Elephas maximus indicus: one gene and its partner. The protein of the gene in region 1 purifies or fractionates together with the protein of each later gene. This does not show direct contact. Links are inferred from orthologs where the notes say so. Each region holds a gene or a part of one and is shown on either strand. Other genes may lie near its edges.

Region 1 (7,094 bases):
GTTGTCTTCTTTATTTTGGTGGTCTCAAGAGGTTATCTTCATATTTGCATCACACTTGCATTGTTCTCAAAATTGTGGAAATTTCTGTTGGGTCCCTGAAGCAGAAAGAAACACTAAACATGGTAATATTTATTGTAGAAACTCTTGGGTGAAGTGATTTGACATACATCATTGTTGTTGTTGTTAGTACCATCAAGTCAATTCCAACTCATAACAACCCTATGTACAACAGAACAAAATACTGCCCAGTCCTGTGTCAACCTCACAATTGTTGCTATGTTTGAGCCCACTGTTGCAGCCACTGTGTCAATCATCTTGTTGAGGGTCTTCTTCTTTTAGGCTGACCCTCTACCAAGCATGATGTCCTTCTCCAGGGACTGATTCCTTCTGATAGCATGTCCAAACTTCGTGAGATGAGGTCTCGCCATTCTCATTTCTAAAGAGCATTCTGGCTGTACTTCTACCAAGACATCATACGATTCTTATTTCATGTGCTTAATCAATGTTAGGTTCACAAATACATAAATTCATGTTACAGTAAGGTAGGAACTTTTAGACAATTGTTCTATAACACATGAACACTATTATCTACTGTTTTTATTGTTTATGCCTATTTCATGCCTTCACACTTGCTGGTCTGCCCGGTAAACCCATCTGTATGTTGTATGGCTCTCCTACTCAGCAGTCCAATACGCTCCCTTTACTAGCAGTTATCACACTGAACTTTTTTTTTTGTACTCTTTTTTTTTAATAGTGCTTTAAGTGAAAGTTTACAAATCAAGTCAGTCTCTTACACAAAAATTTATATACACCTTGCTATGTACTCCTGGAAACCCTGGTGGTGTAGTGGTTAAATGCTACAGCTGTGAACCAAGAGGCTGGCAGTTCGAATCCGCCAGGTGCTCCTTGGAAACTCTATAGTGCAGTTCTACTCTGTCCTATAGGGTTGCTATGACTCGGAATCAACTTGATGGCAGTGGGTCAGTGGGTTATGTGCTCCTAGCTGCTCTCCCCCGAATCAGACAGCACACTCCCTCTCTCCACCCTGTATTCCCTCTGGCAATTCAGCCAACTTGGTTTCCCCTCAGCCCACTCACCTCCCCTCCAAGCAGGAGATGCCCACATAGTCTCATGTGTCTACTTGAGCCAAAAAGCTCTCTCCTCACCAGTATCATTTTCTATGTTATAGTCCAGTCCAATCCCTGTTTAATGTCTTAGTCATTTAGTGCTTCCATAACAGAAATACCACAACTGGGTGGCTTTAACAAAATTTATTTTCTCAAAGTCTGGTAGGTTATATCCGCCAGACGCTCCTTGGAAACTCTATGGGGCAATTCTACTCTGTCCTATAGGGTCACTATGAGTCGGAATCGACTCCACAGCACTGGGTTTGTTTGTTTCGTTTTTTTTTTTTTTAGTAGGTTATAAGTCCAAATTCAGGGCGTCGGCTCCAGGGGAAGGTTCTTTCGGCTCTGGAGGAAGGTCCTTGTCCTCAATATTCCCTTGGTCAAGTAGATTCTCAGGTGCAGTGACCCTGGGTCCAAAGGATGCACTCTGCTCCCTGCTTTCTTGGTGGTATGAGGTCCCCAACTCTCTGCTTGCTTCCTTTTCATCTCTTGAGAGATAAAAGGTGGTGCAGGCCACACCCTAGGCAAACTCCCTTTACCTTGGATCAGAGAGGTGACTTGAGTATGGGTGGTGTTACAATCCCACCCTAATCCTCTCAACATAAAGTTACAATCACAAAATGGAGGACAACCACACAATACTGGGAATCATGGCCTAACCAAGTAGATGCACACATTTTTGGGGGGACATAATTCAATCCACGACATCTGAAGACTTGGTTTTGGGAATGGTTCCAGTCTTGGGCTAACAGGTCTGGGGCGAACTTTTTTATGTCTCTAGTTCCCTTACTATGTGGTGAGCTCCTTGAGGGCAGGGACCATGACTTAGATAATTGTTTTATCATCAGGCCCTAGCACACTCCCAAGGAGCCCTGGGGGTGCCACATTTAAGCACTCAGCTGCTAACTAAAAGGTTGGCAGTTGTAAAACACCCAGTGGCTCCACGAGAGAAAAACCTAGCGATATGCTTCTGAAAAGATTACAGCCAAGAAAGTCCTATAGAGCAGTTCCACTCTGTCACATGGGGTTGCTGAGTCGGAATTTTCTGGACAGCACCCAACAACAGCACCCTAACCAAAAAAAATCCAAACTCACTGCCATTGAGGCAATTCTGACTCATACTGACCCTATAGGGCAGAGTAGAACTGCCCCATAGGGTTTCCAAGGAGCACGTGGTGGATTCGAACTGGCGACCTTTTGGTTATCAGCAAGCTCTTAACCACTGTGCCACCAGGGCTCCAACAGCACATTACCTGGCAATATTAGATTTTTAGTGTTGGTTTGAAGAAAAAAACTATACACCATAGATGATAATTCAGAAAGCAACATCTAAGACCAGAAAATTAGCTGCTGTTCAGGGAGAGCAAACAGTACACAGAAGTGAAACAGTGCATTTGGAACCTGACAGCTCTGGTGACTGGTGTGCAGTTTAAATAAACAGAGAATGATGAGGTAAGCAGGGACATGCTTCCAGGGTAAAGTTCAAAAAGATAACACCTAGCGTGGAAGATGTTTCCCAACTTGCTCTGAAGCCTCACCTCCAGCTACTCCAGCCCATTAGCTCTGGCTATATCCAATTACTCGCAGTTTCCAAAAGACACACTTCTTCCACACATCTCAAGGCCTGCCTTTGTGCTTTGTCCTTTGCTGGGAATATTCTCCTCCCTTCTTCAAAACTCAGCTCAACTGTCACTTTCCCGGGGACGTTTTCCCTACTCCATCAGTCTAATATAGACCCCTCCTCCCCTGCTGACCTGCCTCTTGCTGTTATAGTTCAATGACTTCTCCGGCTCCCTCACTAAAGACTAAGTGTCGTGGACCAGGCTTTTCCACCTTTCCATTTTCAGCTTCTCCGGTGCTAGATATTCACCATATGTTTGTTTATGTAACTGAATAACCCAGGCCCCTATTTTCCATTATGCCCTCGTCCCAAAATTTGAAAGCGCATGAGCTCACTTTATAGACTGTAGATCCAGGTTCACATACTAACAGAACCTGAAATTCAGATAAAGTCATTAGAACAACTTTTTACATTTAGCCACTCTCGATGGTACTGCGTCCCCAGCTAGCCAAACCAGGTGAAAGCCTGGCCAGAGAAGGGCTCAAGGCTCTCAGCTTGCGCCAAGACATCCTAAACGTTTCCCTATTTATTTGCACAATCCCCTGAGCTCCATGTGTAGGAAACAGCATGGCCCAAGGCTGGGACCTGGACTTGCACAAAGAGCTCTTTCAACCTCCCATTTGGTGAATTACAAGATCCTGTATGGAAACCCTGGTGGAGTAGTGGTTAAGTGCTACAGCTACTAAGAGGTTAGCAGTTCAAATCTGCCAGGCGCTCCTTGGGAACTGTATCGGTTAGTTCTACTCTGTCCTATAGGGTTGCTATGAGTTGGAATTGACTCAACAGCAGTGGGCTTGGGTTTTTTTTTTTTTGTATTCTGCGTGAAATACAGCAAGACCCAAGGCCTCTGACACTGGTCTGAAGGCCAGGCCCGCCTTGCTCAGCATTTCTTGCTCGGCATGTTCCCATAACCTCAGGGCTGAGGAACTAAACCGCTTGAAGACGCCGAAAGACGCAAATGAGGCGAATGCAGAGAGGAGGGGCTGCAGGGCTTTGTTCTGAAAGGTTTCCGTTCAGCAGACCGCATTCGCCAGGGGCCCTGCTCCAAGCTCTCCCTAACCCTACGAGCGGCGGCGTCCACTTCACCCATTTGAATTCTCCGAGTTGCCTCGGAATTGCAGAGCAAACTGAATAATCCCTGCTTCCGCCCGAGACTTCCGCATCCCGGGCCCGCCGGGTAAAGGAAAGGGGCTCCAGAAGGTTCCATGAGCTTCAAGAACCCAGGCTTACGCCCACCCCCCCACAAGGCCTTTCGGCACAGCGCCTCCCACCCCGAGCGCCCCCGCGCCGTTGCCCAGGTAACTGCGGGGAGGTGGCAGCGGCCAAGAGGGGCGGGACTTCCGGCGAGTGACGCGCCGCGGCTCGGCTACAAAAGACGACGGCTGCGGCGCTCCGAGGGGAACTTTCCAGAACGCTCGGTGAGAGGTGGAGGGGTGGCGACTCCCGAACTGCGTACAGCTACGCGCTCCGTCCCGCTCCCCCACACCAGCCTCGGTCCGCTCAACTGTGAGTTTCAGTCCTCGCGCTTCCCCTTGTCTCCGCCTGGCGCCATTGGTGGCGCCGGGATTCCGGATGGAGTCGCGGGCGGGAGGCGGTTGGCTCCGCGTGGGCGAGAGGGTTGTCGGTACCCATATCCACGATTCTCAGTCTGGAGGGCTGGTGTGTGACTCGGCAATGAATCTCCGGCTCGCAGTGAATGGGCCCGAGACCTTGAACTCTCCCACTCCTCATCCAGTCTGTGGACCCAGAGGAGGCGCCGCCTTCCTGCCCCTCTGTCCGCGCCCCCGACCCCCCCGTACCGTACTTTCTCGGGGTGGGCGGCCTCGCGCGCACGCGCAGAGGGAGGCAGGGAGTCGAGGGGCTGCGGGAGGAGCCTGCGGCTTTCGTTTCTTTCTCCCCACCCTCTCTTTGTTGAGGGCTGGGCTTCGCTCTCCACCCCTTCGATCCGTGGTGGGCGGGAGAAAGGAAGGAAACCTTAACGGTCGGCGCCAAATGCAGGGGAGAACCTGACGAGATGTAAAGTACCCTGCCTTATGGGGAGAGGGGGTTGGACGGTTAAAGCGGAGGAGTGTAAACCCTGTGATTGAGAAACATCTCTAAGGACTTGGGGGAGGGGAGCTGTTTCTCTGGATCTGGTGTTTCTGATTATTTCTGTAAACCAATTCCCCCTATCCCCAATTGTGCCCAAACGTCTTTTTTCTGGGGAGTATATGGCGTTATTAGACTTACCAAAGACGGTAAAACGTGAGAATCCACGGACCGAACCTACTATGCTTCTTTTTATTGTGGCTGGCTGTCACCACCTTTGGGAGGGGGAAACAAGCAACCCAGGTAATAATGTGTTAGTTCGGATACTTTAGTGTGGGAGAGTGGAAGCCAACTGCTACAAGGAGCCCTTGAGTTATTCGTTGGTAATTACTGTTTTATGTTTAGTCTACTAGAATTTGTGGCTGAGTTATCCCAGAAATTGTTACTTTTACGGTGAAGTTTAGATAGTGAGGTGGTATTCCTCTAATCAGATTTGGCGAAGGACTCAACTTTTGTCTTAACTCTGACTTTACTAATTAAAACTACAATTTGAAAGTCGGTTAAAATGGCATTTTCTTATTTCAGGCTGTAGAAAATGGTGAAAGAAACCACTTACTATGATGTTTTGGGGGTCAAGCCCAATGCCACCCAGGAAGAGTTGAAAAAAGCTTATAGGAAACTGGCCTTGAAGTACCACCCTGATAAAAATCCAAATGAAGGCGAGAAGGCAAGTAGTACGTCCTTAAAAGTATCTGAATAGTTCTTTCCCAGGTGTCTAGTTTTTATAGTACCACGTGAAATTGAGTGTATCTGACATAATGGCAAAAGGAGCCCTGGCATGATATGGTTAAGCGCTGTGGTGCTAACCAAAAGGTCAACAGTTCAAACCCAACACCCACCAGAGGCTGCATGGGAGAAGAGATCTGGCAATCTGCTACCATAAAGAAAGATTACAGCTTAGGAAACTATGGAGCAGGTTGCTATGAATTGGAATCAACTTGACAGCATAACAACATAATGGCTGTGCTTTGTAAGTTTTGTTTTAAAAAATGAAATTTATTCTTTTTTTTTTTTCTCAAACAGTTCAAACAAATTTCTCAAGCTTATGAAGTGCTTTCTGATACAAAGAAAAGAGAATTGTATGACAAAGGAGGAGAGCAGGCCATCAAAGAGGGTGGAGCAGGTGGTGGTTTTGGCTCCCCCATGGACATCTTTGATATGTTTTTTGGAGGTGGTGGAAGGATGCAGAGAGAAAGGAGAGGTAAGACAACCTAGTCCACATGCAGCAAATTAAAGTAGCCATTGGTCAAAACAGATTGTTGAGCAACCATAAGTTTTAAATGCATGTTTATGTTGGTATAATGTTGGGTACTTAATTTATGGTGTAGTTTAGATTGAGGTTTGATGTAACAATATGCTAAAAAAAAAAAATTTGCTAAACCAATTAAGCGGTAACAGATTATTCGTAAAGGTCTTGCATGTACTATGATTAATCAAACACTAAAGAAACAAAATAACAGCAACATAATTTTCAAAGTGTTTTTTATAGATACCAGGCTCATAGCGACCCAGTGTTAAATACAGTAAGTAGCCTCTTCAGTCAAAGGTGATCTGAAGTAAATTTTATGAGGGTCATACAGCCAGTCCACTGTAGAGCCAGAATCAGAACACAGGTTCATTGTCTTCACATAGCTTGTTAGCTGTAATCTTGATTCAGCTTTATTTTATCAAAATACATGAATTTTTATTTAGCAGAAACGTAGTCTGCAGGCTGTAGAAATATTGTTCAGTACAGTGTTCTGGTCAAGAGAAGACAGTCTCACCTTATTTCCTGTATGTTTTATACAAACAAGGGCTAATGAGTAGAGGCCAACTTTAGAACAAATGGGCAAGTCGTTAAATTTCACTCTGAGCTTTTTAAGAAGTTGTTTTGTTTTACTTTTTTAAATAAGGGATTGACCTAATAGCTATCACTGGCAAATTTTTTGTGTGGATTAAATCAACGAGAGGTTGCTTTTTGGCATGAGACCAATTGGACCAGAAAATACATGCTTCATTAAGATCCAGAAACTTTATTTTCTTGTACTCTAGACTCTGTATAAAGTGAGCAGGGCAGTTTTCATCATGCTAAAACCATTTACATAGGGTTGTGTTTATGATATTCCAAAGTTGGAGCTAAGAACAGAAGGGTGTATAGTAAATGCCATGTAGCATTTCATTGGAAACTAAAAGTGTTTACAGGTGCAGAAAGGAGTTGGAAAACTTTCAGTTAGGTATAAGGAAGTACTGTTTGGTGGATAAAGTCCTTGATGGAAAGA
Region 2 (7,866 bases), about 38 Mb from region 1:
GTGTCTCTGAGTCTCCCAGGTATGTCTGCTTTTTTTCTGTGTCTTTGAGGATTAGTGTAAGGGTATCTTTCAATCCTTCTAGGTCTCTCTGTTCTCTGTCCCTGTCTCTCTCCCTCTGGCTCCCTCTCTTCTCCCCTCACTTCTTCACAGAGGGTGGGTGTGACATTCTCACTCCGGATGTTCCTCTCTCCATTGCTCTCCTTCTGCCTTTTTTCTCTTGGGGTGCCTTATCCCTGACCTCTTTCCCTCCTGACCCCTCCCCAACTCCCATGAACCCAGGAGACAGAAAGGATCCTGGCCCAGCATAGCCCCTGGACGTCAACCCCGGCCTTTGCATCCTGTTCCCACCCCCGAGTCCCAGGCTCCTGGGTTCCCCAGTCTGGGAGGGAGTTCACAGTGCCTCACTAGAGGCCACTCAACCTGCCCCCTATGACAAAAACTTGGAAACCAAAAGCTGCTGAGAAATAATGAAGAGGGAGACCTGTATCTTTCCAGAAGTTCTCCCAAAGGCTCTTCCCTCTCTAGGGTGGTTTGTGTTCCAAGGGAAAAGGTTGCTAAGAAAATTCTATTCCAGGGTTTTGGATCCAAGTGCTTCTGAAGAGTTGACATTCCCTTGGCTTCCAGGTTCTAGCCCAGATGGTGCCTACCTGGGGCCAGGCATAAATGAGCTCAGAGGCCCTGGATCCTGTCAGGAGAGTCTGTGTCAGCACCTTTGCATGCCCCTGCACCTCCCAAGCAGGTGGGAGGAGGTGCTGGCCCTTCTCTGGTCACCTGCTTGTGCTGTCCCCAGGTCTTGGGGCATGTACTCTAAGCAGAGGCAGCTAACTACTCCCAGTGTTGGGCTGTGAGAGTGGTAAGACTGTTCAGACAACCCCCGAACCTTCTTATGTAAGGAAGCAGGTAGTGTGGGTCTGGAAGCCTGGGTAGCAAGGGTCCTCAGCCTCTCCCCAGACTGGCCCACAGGAGCAGGGCCCCAGGAACCCTGTTGGCCCCAAAGCCTCCTGACTCTAGCAGCAGGACTTCTTGCTGGCCACCCAAGCCCAGCCGTAGGCAAGAAACCGCTTCCCTAGGTGACTCCTTTCCCAGGCTATACCTTGGACTCTTCTGGGACTTGATGCACTTGCCTTTTTGCTTCCTCCCAACACACAGTATTTGGAAGACTTTACTATTTATTCAGACTCCTAGTTATTTATTGCAGATTGGCAAGTGCTTGGTTTGGGGATGGTGGATGCGGCATGAAGGTGGAAATGAGTTAGAGACGTGGTCCTCCTGGTGACCCAGGGTCAGAGCCAGCATTCTCTTCCCCTGCCTTTCAGACCTTCCTGGTTTTACCAGGTCCTGGCTGGGAGGGAGCTGTACTGGAGCTGAATGGAAGGGAGACAAGAGAGCTAGTATCCTTGCCAGACTCCAGGGCCCCTTGGACAGGGCACACACTGCTTCCCACCAGCCTGGAATACCCTCTTCTTAGGACTTGTCAGTGGGTGGTTCAGCCCCAACCCCCTCATGGCCTGGGACTCAACAGATACTGCCCAGGATATCTGATGCATTCCCTGTTGCCTGCCCACCTGCCCTTCTATTTGGGGCCATACTACCTGAGTCACTCCATCTAATTTGCCTAAGTGGTAGACCTGGCTCCAGTGCCCTCTTCTTGACCTTGAGGTGAAGGTCAAGATCAAAGGGACTATGACCTGGTTAGGTTGAGCTCCACAGTGGGATACTGCCTAGGAAAAGACCTTCCCTTGGTGATTTCCTCTCCCCAGACTCTCAAGGGAGCTCCTTAGAGAGCCAGAGTGCCCAAGGCTTCCTCCTTGAGAAGCTGCCCTCAGGACTTGGGACACTTACACACATTGGGCTGTATGAATTCAGCGGGCTTCACTCCAGAGGGTCAGAATGTTAGTCTGCTTTTTTTTTTTAATCTGTTTTGTTCCTTGGATCAATGCTGTTGATAAATTGTCTTTAAGAAATCATGTGTTCTTTGCATTGGTGCTATAATGGGCTGAAACCTCAGAGAGGTCTCTGGGAGCAGGGAACAAAGTCTAAACAGGGACGGAGTTAGAAGTCTTCCTTGAGCAGTCTAAGAAAGGCCAGGAAGTCTTGTCGTAAGAGATTGTGCAGACCTCATTCAACCACAGCAAGTTATAGCTGGTGGGAGTGTGGACTGGGAGAGGATGTGTAACGTACATGGTTACACAGTAAGTTATTTTTTAGATTTAAAAAATTTTGAAAACTGAAAAACATGTAAATAAAACAAGTTACCCATAATCCCACAAAATCAATGACAGCATGTTAGTCTTTTTAAGCAAATGCAATTTTTATTACATAATTATTTTCTTGATAGTTTTATATATTAGAGTAAGTTTTATGATGAAAAAATTTTTATGAATACTATATACTATTGTTAGGTGCCATCGAGTTGGTTCTGACTCATAGCAACCCTGCATACAACAGAACAAAATACTGCCTGATCCTGTGGCATCTTCACAATTGTCATGCTTGAGCCCATTGTTGCAGCTACTGTGTCAATCCATCTCTTTGAGGGTCTTCATCTTTCGCTGACCCTCTACTTTACCAAGCATGATATTCTTCTCCAGGAACTGGTCCTTCCTCATAACATGTCCAAAGTACGTGAAACGAAGGCTTGCAATGCTTGCTTCTAAAGGAGCATTCTGGCTGTACTTCCTCGAAGACAGATTTGTTTGTTCTTCTGGCAATCCATGGTACATTGAGTATTCTTCACCAGCACCATAGTTCAAAGACATCAATTTTTTTTCTGTCTTCCTTATTGTCCAGTTTTCTCATGCATATGAGGCGATTGAAAACACCATGGCTTGGGTCAGGTGCACCATAGTCCTCAAAGGGACATCTTTGCTTTTCAACACTTTAAAGAAGTCTTGCAGCAGATTTGCCCAATGCAATATGTTGTTTGATTTGACTGCTGCTTCCATGGGCATTGATTGTAGATCCAAGTAAAAAAATCCTTGACAACTTCAGTATTTTCTCTGTCATAATGTTGGTTATTTGTCCAGTTGTAAGGATTTTTATTTTCTATATGTCGAGGTGTAATACACACTGGAGGGTGTAGTCTTTGATTTTCACCAGTAAGTGCTTCAAGTCCTCTGCTTTCAGCAAGCATGGTTGTAACACTGCAGGTTGTTAATGAGTCTTCCTCCAATTCTGATGCCTCGTTCTTCATATAGTCCAGTTTATTGGATTATTTGCTCAGCATACAGATTGAATATGGTGAAAGGATACAACCCTGATGCACACCTTTCCTGATTTTAAACCACACAGTATCCCCTTGTTCCATTTGAACTACTGCCTCTTGGTCTATGTACAGGTTCCATATGAGCACAAGTGTTTTGGAATTCCCATTCTGCACAATGTTATCCATAATTTGATATGATCCATACAGCAGAATGCCTTTGCATAGTCAATGGAATGCCTTTGTGTAGTCAATGGATAGTATATCAGGTATGTTATCTAGCATGCTAAAAATGTCTAATTAGTTCCTATTTCTGTTACATTGCTTATCCCAGCCCTTATTTTTACATAATGTAATGAATATTTGTTTTTGAAGTCCTTGCATTTCTGATTATTTCCCTACTTAAGTCCAGTAAAGATTGAAAGGTAAGGCTTTTCATCCTGTAAGAATGGTGTGGTGGTGAGGGCATCTGACCTTCTCTAACTTAACAAGGGGGAAGGCTCTCAGCTTTCTTGTTCTGTGGGCTAGGGAAGCCCACTGTGCTGTCTCCTGGTCTCCTGTTCTGTTGCCTCTGCCTGCTGCTGGTTCTCACAGTCTCTAGTGTTAACAGCTTTCTTGTCTCCTGGGTCTAGGAGGTTCTCAGTGCAGGGATCCTGGGTCCAAAGGACGTGCTCCACTCCTAGCTATTCCTTCTTGGTAGTGAGCCCCCTCCCCTCTGCCATGTTAGGGTCTCTCCCCTTTTATCTCTTGTAAGATAAAAGGTGTGACTCAAGGACATGACTTCAATAAGGGTGTTGACTTGAGTCACACCCTCCAGTAAGGTGGTTACTCAAGATACATCCCACCCTAATCCTGCCTCATTAACATAATGGACAACTCACTCCCAAATGGGACCATAACCAGAGGCATAGCGGTTAGTATTTACAACACATCACAAAATGGAGGATATTGTACATCAGCTCACAAAATGGAGGACAGCTTCATCATTACAGAACTGCCAAACCACTGAAAAGCATGGCCCAGCCAAGTTGATGGATGACCTTAACCATCACAGTTTCCATACACCTGTTTGCATGGTCCTACACAATCATTGTATGGAAGTCACAAAGGCTTTGGCTAGAAGGGCCGTATTACGTAATTAACAGCACCACACATACTGCTAAACTGCTTTCAGTAATAGTTTTATCGGTTTCCATTTCAACCAGTAGTTTGATAGCATCAATTGCCTGCATCATTGTTCTGAGCGCTGGGTGTTTATTAAGGAAATCTTTGCCAATCATGTGGGACTTTTAGCTTATTTTATGCTGTAATTGTTAGGAGAATGGGCTCGCTCTGGTGTCCGACAGACCTGTAGTCTTTTCCTTGTTCTGCCAACTAGGAAGTCCCTCTCGGGACTCTGGAAGATTAAACGAAGTTTAGACCAAAGCTTGACACTTCTTAGGGCTCCTTACATACGAGTTTCTCCCACAAGCGCGGAGTCCCTCCGTGGAGACCAGGGGGCGGAGGCAGGGCGGAGCTGAGCCTGACGGAGGCCAATAGTGGCCTGAGGTGCTGGTGCCTCGCCCCTCACGCCCGTGTCTTAAAAGGGCAAAGAAAGGGCGACGGGAGCCCGTTTTACTGCCCTCTGCGACGGCACTGGGTCTTGTTTTGTGTGTGTGTGTGTGTGACTGGGCACTGGGTTGTTAGCACTAACCCTTCTGAACGGCAGGGAATGGAATGTCCTAAAACACTGTAATTGTCCCGCGCCCCATCAGCCCCTATTCTTACGGTGGACCCCGCAAGCCGCAGCAGCCATTTTAAGAGCCTGCGAGTCCGGCGCCCAAGGTCGCCGCGCTCCCTCGACCCCTCAGGCCGCGTTCCGTCGCTTCTCCCCGGTCTCGGTCCTCCGCCATGCGGGCTCTGAGGGCCGGCCTGACCCTGGCGCTCGGCGCGGGGCTGGGCGCAGCCGCAGAGGGCTGGCGGCGGCGGAGGGCAGATGCGCGGGCGGCGCCGGGGCTCCTGGGCCGGCTGCCCGTGCTGCCCGTGGCGGCGGCGGCCGAGCTCCCCGCCTTGCCTAGGGGACCGGCGGGCAGCGGCCCCGGAGGGCTGGCCAAGTACGGGCTGCCCGGGCTGGCGCAGCTCAAGAGCCGCGAGTCGTACGTGCTGTGCTACGACCCTCGCACCCGTAGCGCTCTCTGGGTGGTAGAGCAGCTGCGGCCCGAGCGGCTCCGCGGCGACGGCGACCGCCGCTCGTGCGACTTCCGCGAGGACGACTCGGTGCACGCGTACCATCGAGCCACCAATGCCGACTATCGCGGCAGCGGCTTCGACCGCGGCCACCTCGCTGCCGCCGCCAACCACCGCTGGAGCCAGAAGGCCATGGACGACACCTTCTACCTGAGCAACGTCGCGCCCCAGGTAGTGCCCGCGCACAGGCTGTGGGACGCGGGGCCAGCCGCCTCGCCTCTCTGAGTCTTGGTTTGCCCATCTGCAGAGTGGGTAGCTGCTGAGCGCGCGTTCTAGGTCAGGCGCGCAGTGAGGAAGGTTCGGAGTACTGGGGACACTGAGCGTGTCGGGGCTCCGAGCTCCGGCTCTGCAGTCGTACTAGGGCTTTGACTCACCGCGGGCCCTAGACGCCTGCCTGAGTTTCAGTTTTCTCGGGTGTAAAATGTAGAGCCGAAGTACTAACGACACAATGCATGTGAAAGTACTGAGCACACTTCCTGGCTCGGGCAAGCATTCAATAAATATGTTAGTTATTGCTATAACGGGGGCACTGAGGCTCAGAGAGGTACAGCGACTAGCTCAGCGTCAGTGGGCCTCAGGGAGAGAACCCAGGCAGTCTGTCTACAGGAGCCTGAGTTTTCAGCCACTGCCCTACCTTGCCTGCTGCACACTATCAGGCTGTACCAATCCCAGTGCACCCTTGACAAGCTGTCCTACCATTGGCCCCATGCCCAGCAGGACCAGGCACCCAGTGGATGCAGAATGATGGGGACTCCGAAGTTGTAGGGGTCGAGCCAGTGACCTGACTTCTTATCCTTTCCTACTGGCACAGCCCCTACCCGTTGGACTAGACATTGTACTGAGGTCTGGAGAGCTAAAGTGATAGAGTCAGTAGCAGATTGTTTAAAGTTCCCAGCTGGGCCGTGAATGTAGTTTGATTGGGGAAAGGAGAGAAGAGGTAATTATGGAGAACTGGCCTTCTCAAGAGCCCCTCCAGGGACCAGGCCTCAGTTTCTCTCTCTGAAAGTGAGAGAAAATGTGCCCTATTGCTTCTTGCAACTCTTTGGAGAAAAGGCTTTGAGACCTGGGGTGCTGGTTCTCCTGTCCTAGATGGAGTGAGGGTGACTAGCACCCAGGGCTTCAGACAGGTTCTTCCCTCATTCAATCATGGCTGAGGAAGCAACACCAGGACAGAACCAAATTTCTAAAATTTGGGCAAACCGTAACCCCATAACCATAATGGGAAAAATCATAGGTGGAAGACCTGCCAGAAATGTAAATCTCCCTTTAGAAAACAAGGGCAGCGTACCCATTGCATAGCAACCAAATCTTTTACTGTTGGATTTTGCGAATTTGTGCAGAGTTGGAAATAGCGGTGCCCTGCTCAAAGATGGCAGCCAACAGCACCACTTTGAATGTGTCACTGTCCTCAATCCTGGCAATAATCCAGTCTCACCCATCAGGCTCTGGAAAGGGCTCACTACTCCTCTTCTGAGTCTTCCATTCCAGGGCTTTGACCTGCAATTTTTCCCATTCCAGTAATGGTTCTGGACCACCCAAATTTTTTAAAATTGGGGTCTGTTTGGGTTTAGGTTCCTTGGCCATGACTGACCTGGTTCTAACCAGTTCAAAGCCCTGTTAGCACCCCATCAGCCCTACCCAGGCTCTGTCCTCATGGCCACGTGTGATGGAGTGACTCCTTCAGCCTCACTTTCCTCCTCTTGCTTGCCCCCAGCTAGATATTCCTGGCTTGGTGCCAGTGTCCACATCCTCAGGGCAGCCCTTGCAAGAACGGGAGGAAGTCTCTTCCTGGGTCTCACTGAGCACCACCTCTCCTCCCAGGTGCCCCACCTCAACCAGAATGCCTGGAACAACCTGGAGAAGTACAGCCGCAGCTTGACGCGTAGCTACCAAAATGTCTATGTCTGCACGGGGCCGCTCTTCCTGCCCAGGTGAGGCTGGAACTGAGGGTTTGGGAATAGCAGGGCCTCACATTCACGTGCGTCTCCTCCTGCCACTTACCCCATTCAGGCTTGCCCCAGGCTCTGGGTCAACACTATCAGGTCACTACTCATCTGGTTTCTTGACAGGCATACCTGTCTCCCTGCCTCACGACGCCCCCACCCCCCAATTCTACAGCCAGAGACCTTTTGGGTACCTCTGCCCAAGGACACCCTTGCTCTTCTGGCCACACCTATTCTGCCCAGATAGAAAACTTGCAGGTCCCCGAATGTACCAAGCTCTTGCTTTCAGCCTCTCTTCTTCTTGGAGCACTCTTCCGGTTTGAACTCAGATCTGCCTGACCAAAAGCCTTACTCTTGTCCCTTTGCAGCCCTGCCTCCCAGGTGGGACTGAGGCTCTGTACACTCAGTGATTTTCCTGGCCCCCTGAGGACCGGGATGCGTGAGGTTAACAGGTTGTGCGCAGCTGGCTCTGACGTCCACAGACTCAATCACTTA

What was found. Proteins that work in one complex are often made in the same cells at the same time.
Region 2: the proteins of DNAJA1 (region 1) and ENDOG purify together in Homo sapiens (affinity purification with mass spectrometry; 3 studies listed by BioGRID and IntAct, counting the BioPlex papers as one, with this or other methods). This does not show direct contact. The link is inferred for Elephas maximus indicus from reciprocal best matches to the Homo sapiens genes DNAJA1 and ENDOG.

What each region holds. Positions count from the first base shown.
Region 1 is NC_064827.1:42,214,793-42,221,886, forward strand, and holds the start of DNAJA1 (dnaJ homolog subfamily A member 1), read left to right. Parts: upstream 1-4,083; 5' UTR 4,084-4,254; intron 4,255-5,361; 5' UTR 5,362-5,371; coding exon 5,372-5,503; intron 5,504-5,859; coding exon 5,860-6,037; intron 6,038-7,094.
Region 2 is NC_064827.1:79,804,765-79,812,630, forward strand, and holds the start of ENDOG (endonuclease G, mitochondrial), read left to right. Parts: upstream 1-4,864; 5' UTR 4,865-5,092; coding exon 5,093-5,599; intron 5,600-7,249; coding exon 7,250-7,359; intron 7,360-7,866. UniProt on the Homo sapiens protein: Endonuclease that preferentially catalyzes the cleavage of double-stranded 5-hydroxymethylcytosine (5hmC)-modified DNA.